2 linked regions of the Schizosaccharomyces pombe genome follow. The protein of the gene in region 1 binds, or shares a complex with, the protein of each later gene. Each region holds a gene or a part of one and is shown on either strand. Other genes may lie near its edges.

Region 1 (4,461 bases):
CCAAAAAAATCATATCGCTCCTAGGAATAAACCAATTTAATTTGATTGAATTGAAAGACTTTGCCTCAACACATCTTTTGTATATTTATTATTAGTTAATGTTTTCTACGTTACTATTTTATTATTGCTAGATATCGAATCCCTGATGTTATCCGTTTGTTCAAAAAAAAGAGAGAAAAAGTTTCCTAAAGGCTAAATTTTGCCTTTTTTTACTGATGACCTGTTTGTTCTCAGTTTTGTGATTATTTACGCTTATGCACACCGAAAATTTCATCTTTGAATACTTTGAAGTGTTTGTATTTTTTACTGTCATTAACAAAACCGCATTTGAAGTAGCAGGTTAATAATAATGACTGTTAAGACTGCGGTTCATAAAATTTAATTATTTTGCTTATTGTTTTTTTCAATTTCTTCTGTGCCCCGATTAATTAAGGTGTATCCGACAACCAAGGTTTGGATGCTCGATTATGTAGGCAACACAAAAATTTACATGATATGGATAGATCTTTCATAGAAATACCTCTAAATTTTGATGAATTTACTTTAGCAAGAAAAAAAAAGAATGCAATGTTAAAAACTGTTACAATAATTATAAATATACAATGGGTACCAGAAGTCGCTATGAAAACATCTGAAGTAATAAGATTACGATCAACAACTCAAAACGTGCAAATATACTCCAATTATACTAAATTCCTCTCTTATAATTGATATACTGATATTAATTGCCTCCTCAAAATACTTAGCAAACGCAAGCATTATTCCAAAAAAAAGTCGAGACGAATAACGAGCTAGACCACTGTTGGCATGCATTTTAAGGCAATGCGGTATACAAATTCCTCAGTATATCAAAATAAATAACATTAGAAAGAAAGTACTCATCTGGGAATTTTTTTTTTTTAATTCACAACTATATTTAATAAATATTTTAAATTAAAATCAGTAAATTGCTATGATGAGGTTAAAAGAAATAAGAGACACGATTTGAATTGTACTGTTATCGAATAATTTATCAAGTTAGCATGTTAAAGTTTCCACGACAAGTACCCAAAAGTCTGACTACGTGCTATTAAAGCTAGCTAATCATATAAATTAAAATCAGCCAAAACTCATAGTCATTTCACAAGTTTCTCTTTTCAGCCATTGTTTACATATGAAATTTTACTTAGTCTCCAGAACATCGTTTCTAATACCCTAACCTAAGGTAAAAACCGTCACAACAAATTTACTATATATAGGGTCTGTTCAGTTGATGATTCACCATCATCAGTAGGTTTTAACTTACTTTGTTATATAAGTAAAGTAAAATCAATCCTGAAGTCAAGTATGATGGTTGGAGTCTCCGGACCAAGAAAATGCATCCGTTCCGTCTTCAGCGAAGAATTGAGTGGCTTTCCCGGTCGTTGACTTTTTTCCATGGGTCAAGGATGGGATTGTCTCCCAGACATTTTTAATTAAAAAAAGTTTATATTTGATTAGTTTAGATACGTACCCAAAGTTTGCAATACTACATGATTTGTTTAATAAATTTACGGTGTACTGTAAAACAATTCGTAGAGCCAACAGTATAAATATCCCATTGATGGCTGGGTTCAATAGTTTTATTTTTAGTGTAAATATAATGACAATCTGTTTATCAAAGTATACTGAGATTATAATATTTGTTTTTGCCAAATGGTTTTATAATTATTAGAGCATGATAAAGACGATGTTTGAGGAATTCTTCTCACTATGAATGTCTGTTTTCATGGAGACGTGGCATCAAGTAATGGTTTTTAGAGGCATGTTCAAATTTGTTTTCGCTCATTGAAACTTGTTTTCTATATCGCTGTTCATGAATTTTATTTTATTTTTTTTTTATTTCAGACTTAAGAGTGCGCTAGATTTATTTGGGCATCTTTAAATAATGTAAATTACTTATAACTCCAAAACTTTTAACTTGGCAATCTAGTTTGGGCCATTGTGTAGTTGCCCAAAACATGTCAGAGGAAGTAGTCCAGGATGCACCTCTCGAGAATAATGAACTCAATGCCGAGATAGACTTACAAAAAACAATACAAGAAGGTATGATTAAAGGGAATTCTTCATTAATATATATTATTATGCCGTAATTACTGACGATTATACTCGTTTCAGAATACAAACTTTGGAAACAAAATGTTCCCTTTCTGTATGACTTGGTAATAACCCACGCTTTGGAATGGCCTTCTTTGACAATTCAATGGCTTCCTGACAAAAAAACGTACGTTGCTTGCCAAAGTAGTTAGGCTATGATTATACTGGCCTTTACTTCAAACCATCTCATCAGTTTTCTAACTCGATTCTTGAAGAATACCAGGTACTGATTACTCTATTCAACGTCTTATTCTTGGCACTCACACATCTGGTAATGATCAAAATTATTTACAGATTGCTTCTGTGCAATTACCAAACTTTGATGAGGATACCACCGAGTTTACTCCTTCTACGATTCGAAGAGCACAGGCCACGGGCTCGTATACGATTGAAATTTCACAAAAAATCCCTCACGATGGCGATGTCAATCGTGCTCGTTACATGCCTCAAAAGCCTGAAATCATCGCTACCATGGGAGAAGGAGGAAATGCTTATATTTTTGATACAACTTGTCATGATGCCTTAACTACAGGTGAAGCACTTCCTCAAGCAGTTTTGAAGGGCCATACTGCTGAAGGTTTTGGTCTTTGCTGGAACCCGAATTTACCTGGAAATCTAGCAACAGGAGCAGAGGATCAAGTTATCTGTTTATGGGATGTTCAGACACAATCTTTTACTTCCTCTGAGACAAAAGTCATTTCCCCCATAGCCAAATATCATCGTCATACTGATATTGTTAACGATGTTCAATTTCATCCTCAACATGAGGCATTATTAGCATCGGTGTCGGATGATTGCACTTTGCAAATTCACGATACTCGGTTAAATCCAGAAGAAGAAGCTCCCAAAGTTATTCAGGCTCATTCTAAAGCCATAAATGCCGTTGCCATTAATCCCTTTAATGACTATCTTTTAGCAACAGCCAGTGCTGATAAAACAGTAGCTCTTTGGGACCTCCGTAATCCATATCAACGGTTGCATACCCTGGAAGGACACGAAGATGAGGTATATGGGTTAGAATGGTCACCTCATGATGAACCTATATTGGCATCCAGTTCAACTGATCGCCGTGTTTGTATTTGGGATTTAGAAAAGATTGGAGAGGAACAGACTCCGGAGGATGCCGAGGATGGTTCTCCAGAATTACTATTTATGCATGGAGGCCACACAAATCGCATCTCAGAATTTAGTTGGTGTCCAAACGAGCGTTGGGTGGTTGGAAGTCTTGCCGATGATAATATCCTTCAAATATGGAGCCCTTCTCGTGTCATTTGGGGTCGTGATCATGTTCAGGTTTCTCCTAGGGATCTGGAGTAAAGTTGGCCATAGAAAAAAACCCAAACTCACTTTTCCATCCTTCTACGCTTCATCTGTTTTTTGCAATATTCTTTACAATACAGAGTCATATGGTAATTGACTGCTCTCTTTTTTTCAGCTTTTGTATAATTTAAAACAAATGATCTTCGTCGCCTTGTAAATACATCAAAACTACTGTTATAAATCAGACTACATTTCTATAACACCAGAGATTAAATGTTTTGTTTGACCATGATAAAGTAAAAAGGATAGTAACTATTAATATTATACATAACAGCAAAAAAAATCTATTGAACAACAAAAGGGGGATAATATATCTCAAACTTGTTCATTTTGCAAGTCTGCGAATAGGCGTTTGTATAGTTTCTTCGAAACTTTCGTTCGGCGATTAAGTAAACGATTATTCAGGTGAGATATAAAATTGGTCATAGAAATGAAAATGTAATTTTGACCGCTGGCTGCGAGTAAATAATAAATAACACCAGCGAAGATCAAAAAGTTCTGGAAACTTTTGGACGTAGGCGTAAGTTGGAAAAGTTTCATAAAAAAGTTTTTATGATTTTGAAGTCGTATTAACTTAACGGTCAGGATCAACAAAACAACAACGACAGCTGTAAATGAATAGTTCCTCCAAACTTTTTCTCTGTAAGGAGGTCCTATGCTCAAAACCACTCCAATAAAAATATATTGGAAGCAAGAAATTAAAAACAGAGCAGTTACATCGCTATTTGTAATATTCGTATCTGAGCTATTCGCAGGTGGTGGTATATACCAGGGCTCTCTCCGTACTATCCTTAAGGTTATATATTGAATTATACAAATAAGGACGATTTGACCGATTAGAGGAGATAAAATACGTTTGGAAACCAAATTAGCGGTAGGTCTTTTGTGGGCCAAACGATGATAAGGTCGAGATCTCCCCATGAAAACCGCAATGGGAAGAATAATGACAAGATCAATAAACAAAAACTGGAAGTCTCCAAGATTTGAATTTGTTGTGTACAATATACTGACAGTGATAAATTGAAT
Region 2 (4,543 bases), on another chromosome or scaffold:
ACTATGATTTATAAGTTAGTCTGCCGATATTTACGCAAATTCAATACGCCTTTCTTTTTTTCCAGGGGAAATGTTTGCATACACCAAGAACATGATGTTGAGACGTAAATCTAGTACGGAAAACCAAGATGCATACGTTATGGTTTGATCATTAAATGTCTTGTTGAAAAATTATAAATATGCATCGTTTCTCTCGATGTTTACACTACATTAAAAAAAAGAAATCTGCAGCTTAATTTGAAAACACTAAAAAAACCTGCATTCTTCTTTTTTCCACGAAAGATCTGTTGCTGCTTACGCTATTATTTGTTATTATTATAAATAATAATAACATTTCTATCGATAACTTCGTTTCATATAGTTTTTAACATTTACTCCTTCCCACTTTTTTGTATAATACTCTTCAAAAATGGCCCCTCAATTCAAACGCCCTGAGCTCTTTGGCTTTGATAAGTCTCATGCTCAATCTTTTGTTCAAGGAAAATGGATTTCTTCTCCTAACAACAAAACTTTTGAGGTTGATAACCCAGCTACTGGTGAAATAATCGGTAAAGTGGCCGATGTCTCAGTAGAGGAAACAAAAAAAGCCATCAGTGCCGCTAACGAGGCCTTCAAAACTTATAAAAATTTTACTCATGTCCAACGTAGTCAGTTATTGGAACGCTGGGCAGAGCTTATTATGGAGAACAAAGACGACTTGGTCAAGATGCTTACCTTAGAAAACGGCAAGCCTTTGAGCCAAGCTGAGATGGAGGTCACCACATGTAGCGGATATCTTAAATGGTATGCTGCTGAAGCCGTTCGTACCTTTGGCGATGTAGCTCCTTCCAGCTTACAAAGTCAAAACTTTCTCATCTCCATCAAACAGCCAGTTGGTGTCAGTGCCTTGATTACTCCTTGGAACTTCCCCGCCGCCATGATTGCTCGTAAAGGTGGTGCCGCTTTGGCTGCTGGTTGTACCGCTATTTTCTTGCCTGCTTTCCGCACTCCCTACGTTTGCTTAGGTTTAGTCAGGTTGGCGCAAGAGGCCGGTTTCCCTGACGGTGTCTTAAATGTGATCACTTCTTCTGATGCATCTGCTCATGGTAAAGAACTGACTACCAACCCTATCGTTCGTAAGGTTTCCTTCACTGGTAGTACTAATGTCGGTAAAATTCTTATGGGACAAAGTGCCAGCACAATCAAGAAGGTTTCAATGGAGTTAGGAGGTAATGCCCCTTTCATTGTATTCCCTGACTTCCCCATTGATCAGGCTGTCGAATCTTTCTGCACTATCAAGTTTAACTCTTGTGGTCAAGTTTGTGTCTGCCCTAACAGAGTTTACGTTCACAAGAATGTTTACGACGAATTCGTCAGCAAGCTTACCGAAAAAGTCAAGACCATTAAAGTAGGAGATGGATTTGACTCTTCTTCTGCTGTTGGCCCTTTGATTTCTCAAGATGGATGCAAAAAGGTCAGCAAGCACATTGAAGATGCTGTTTCAAAGGGTGCCAAAATCACTGTTGGTGGAAAGGAGATTTCCTCAAGCAAAGGTTATTTTTTTGAACCAACCGTGCTCTCCGGTGTAACTCAAGACATGTTGGTTGCTAGCGAGGAAACATTCGGCCCACTCGCCTCTGTCTTCAAGTTCGACGACACCGAAGAGGTGATCGAATGGGCTAACGACAGTGATGTTGGCTTGGCCGGTTACGTCTTTACCAATAACTTGTCCACAATGATCCACGTTGCCAAAGAACTAGAGGTGGGTCTTGTAGGTGCCAATATCGAAATGGTTGACGAACCATTTATTTCCTTTGGCGGCATCAAACAGAGCGGTTTTGGCAAGGAAGCCGGTCGTTTGGGCGTTCAAGAATTTATGGTGGTTAAGGAAATCAATCTCAAGACTCTTTAAGGATTTTCGCTTTAGAAAGCTGCATATTATTGAACAAGCAATGATGTCCTCTTTTGGTTAATGACTAAAAAATCCTGATGTTATGACTGTTTTACATGTTTGCGATACAAATCGTATTTTAGTTTAATGATATCAAAAAAATTTAATACCTGAACATCGTGGGTCATCGATGAAGAATGGATTGTTGTGTCAGAAAATCTATACTTGTAGTTATTGTTCTGAGCAATCTGAAAAGTTATAAAGAATTGTAGGTTCTAAAATTGGCAATACTGGAGCTAGAAATCTATATAATAGTAAATATTTTTTAATAATAACAGGTGTAGCACGTGAAATTTTGCGTCGCCTTGTAGTTTGTTACTTCCAACTAGACACATGTATTTTTTGTTGTTTGACTTGAAATAGGGTCAGGTATTCAATTTTCCGTATGCAGTGATGAGTGCTGTTGATGAATGGGTACATAATGCCAATGAATGCATAGAAATTGTACAAGGTATGCTATGTTAAATTATAATGTTTTTACCTTGTGTTAACACCTGTCAGTAAACGAAAAGCATGAAAAAGATTGTCAATACCATCCTAGCAATACATATGCAATATTTGGAGATGCTGAGGTTATTTATGGATATAAAGATCTAAATGTCACTGTAAGATTAAATCAGCAAGTTTTAGTCATGAAATTTGATTGCAAATAGTAACAGTTATTAGATAACCTATGAATGCCCATTGATGGTCCCAAAACTGGAAATCTCATATTCAGAGCGCCTAGCACCAGATTCAGGAGTGGAACCAACTGATATTGAAGGAACATTAAACACTTATCTAAAAGATCGTTCCATTAAGGTTGAAGGAAACTCATTTGACGTTCATTCGGCAAATAGTATTCATAACTATTCCTTTAATGGAAAAACATTCAAGATTTTACAAGTATGTTCGATTACCTTTCAATTGGAGAAGTATTCAATTATTGAATATCCCTATATGTTCTTTGGCTAATAATCGTAATGTATTAATAGGCAACGGTTCTTGAAGCTAGTGAGATTATGCAGCATTTGCAAATATTTTCCTTATTTTTTATTGAAGGGGGCTCTTTTATTGACCTTAATGATCCAAGATGGATGGTATATTTACTGTAAGTTTGTTATTTTCTACGCGTCTACTTTCCTTTTACCTTTTTATCGAGGTTTTATTAACAAAAATAAGTTACGAGACTACTGAAGATGATTATTGCTTACGTGGTTATTGTACTGTATACAAATATTATAAATGGGACAAATTAATTCACGATGGTATTCGAGCTCGTATCTCACAATTCGTGATTTTACCCCCTTTTCAACATCAAGGACACGGTTCGCAATTGTACAATGCTATTGTTAGTACCTTTTTGAAAAATCCTAAAATTTTAGACTTCACAGTTGAGGATGCATCGGAAGCGTTTGATAGCCTTAGAGACCATTGCGACTATAAAAGATTATTATCAATGGGAATATTTTCAGAACCTGACTTTCATCCCTCTCTTTCTAGGCAGTGGATAAACTCGAAAATAGCTGAAACAAAGTTAACCCAGGTTCGTAATTTGCTAAATTTACCATGCAATGCAACTTACTAATTGTCTTTTTTTAGCGTCAATTCTCACGCTGTTGTGAATTAGCATTTACAACGAAACTAAAAAAGCTTTCATTATTGGAGCGGAAATCTGTTAGACTAGGAATAAAGGAAAGGATTTTTCGTCAAAATCTTGATGTGTTGCTACAGTTGGATAAGTCCGAACGTATTGAAAAAATTCATAACGCCTATGAAAATCAGTTTGATGAGTATAAACAGATTGTCAAAAAGCTACCCAAGCTTAAGGAAGATTCGCCTCGAAAACGCCAAAAACTTGCTCAATCTTCTTCCTAAATGAAAACACTTTTAGAGATCTGAAATACTTTGAGAATATTGAAGGCATATTAGCATAAAAAGTTATGAGAATCGACTAAATTACACTATTGGACGCAATTACTTTTTATATAATTTGCTTTTGAAAGCTTTCGCTTGAAATGATTAAAGACATTTGAAACAGTGATCATTTTAATAATATAAATTTTGTATATATTTTGCAAATTTAGTGTGATATCTAGTTTAATAAAATCTATAAAGGCACCTTATAAAAATTCAAACAATTCCTCATAATGAACTGCTTTTTCCAAAATTTAAATATTTTAATATCTACTATCAATAATATTGGTTATTTTCAACGACCAGTACAACTTTAGGTGCTTGTCATTCTCATCCGTCCTCCTTCCTATTCCGATCCCGACTTTGTTCATTACCTGACACCCCGGATAAAGTTAGCTCAATTAGCAAATTCTCATTCGATCTTATAAAGGAATTATTCTTTTTCAAAAATGAGTGGAAGATTTGTGAGAGCTAGTAAATATAGTACGCATGCTTTTTGAGTAAATAATTATTAACTGACGTTAGGACATATCTTTGGACAAACCTGCAAAAAAGAACTTTGCTACGACAACATAAAGGTTGGTCGATACTTTAATGGTTTGAAATTTACTAATTGTCTTCAATAGCTTAGCAATAATGCATGGGATTCTAACCTATTGAGTGTGAACCCCTTTTACCTCAGTGTTAATTGGAATGCGGGAGCTGGAGGTGCATTGG

What was found.
Region 2: mis16 (region 1) and hat1 share a complex: the UniProt entries of both Schizosaccharomyces pombe proteins name them as parts of the HAT-B complex.

What each region holds. Positions count from the first base shown.
Region 1 is NC_003421.2:582,156-586,616, forward strand, and holds mis16 (histone H4 chaperone, CENP-A recruiting complex CENP-A chaperone Mis16), read left to right. Parts: upstream 1-1,970; 5' UTR 1,971-1,979; coding exon 1,980-2,064; intron 2,065-2,136; coding exon 2,137-2,242; intron 2,243-2,314; exon of another isoform or gene 2,315-2,330; coding exon 2,331-3,432; 3' UTR 3,433-3,738; downstream 3,739-4,461. Other genes in the region: SPOM_SPCC1672.09 (triglyceride lipase-cholesterol esterase), read left to right, coding at 1-40; SPOM_SPCC1672.11C (P-type ATPase P5 type), read right to left, coding at 3,751-4,461. UniProt on the Schizosaccharomyces pombe protein: Regulatory subunit of the histone acetylase B (HAT-B) complex. The complex acetylates 'Lys-12' of histone H4 which is required for telomeric silencing.
Region 2 is NC_003424.3:1,027,907-1,032,449, forward strand, and holds hat1 (histone acetyltransferase Hat1), read left to right. Parts: upstream 1-2,313; 5' UTR 2,314-2,323; coding exon 2,324-2,381; exon of another isoform or gene 2,382-2,431; coding exon 2,432-2,535; exon of another isoform or gene 2,536-2,596; coding exon 2,597-2,815; intron 2,816-2,904; coding exon 2,905-3,020; intron 3,021-3,091; coding exon 3,092-3,455; intron 3,456-3,511; coding exon 3,512-3,787; 3' UTR 3,788-4,035; downstream 4,036-4,543. Other genes in the region: ssd2 (succinate-semialdehyde dehydrogenase), read left to right, coding at 410-1,891; coronin Crn1, read left to right, coding at 4,276-4,309, 4,352-4,404, 4,453-4,543. UniProt on the Schizosaccharomyces pombe protein: Catalytic component of the histone acetylase B (HAT-B) complex. Acetylates 'Lys-12' of histone H4 which is required for telomeric silencing. Has intrinsic substrate specificity that modifies lysine in recognition sequence GXGKXG.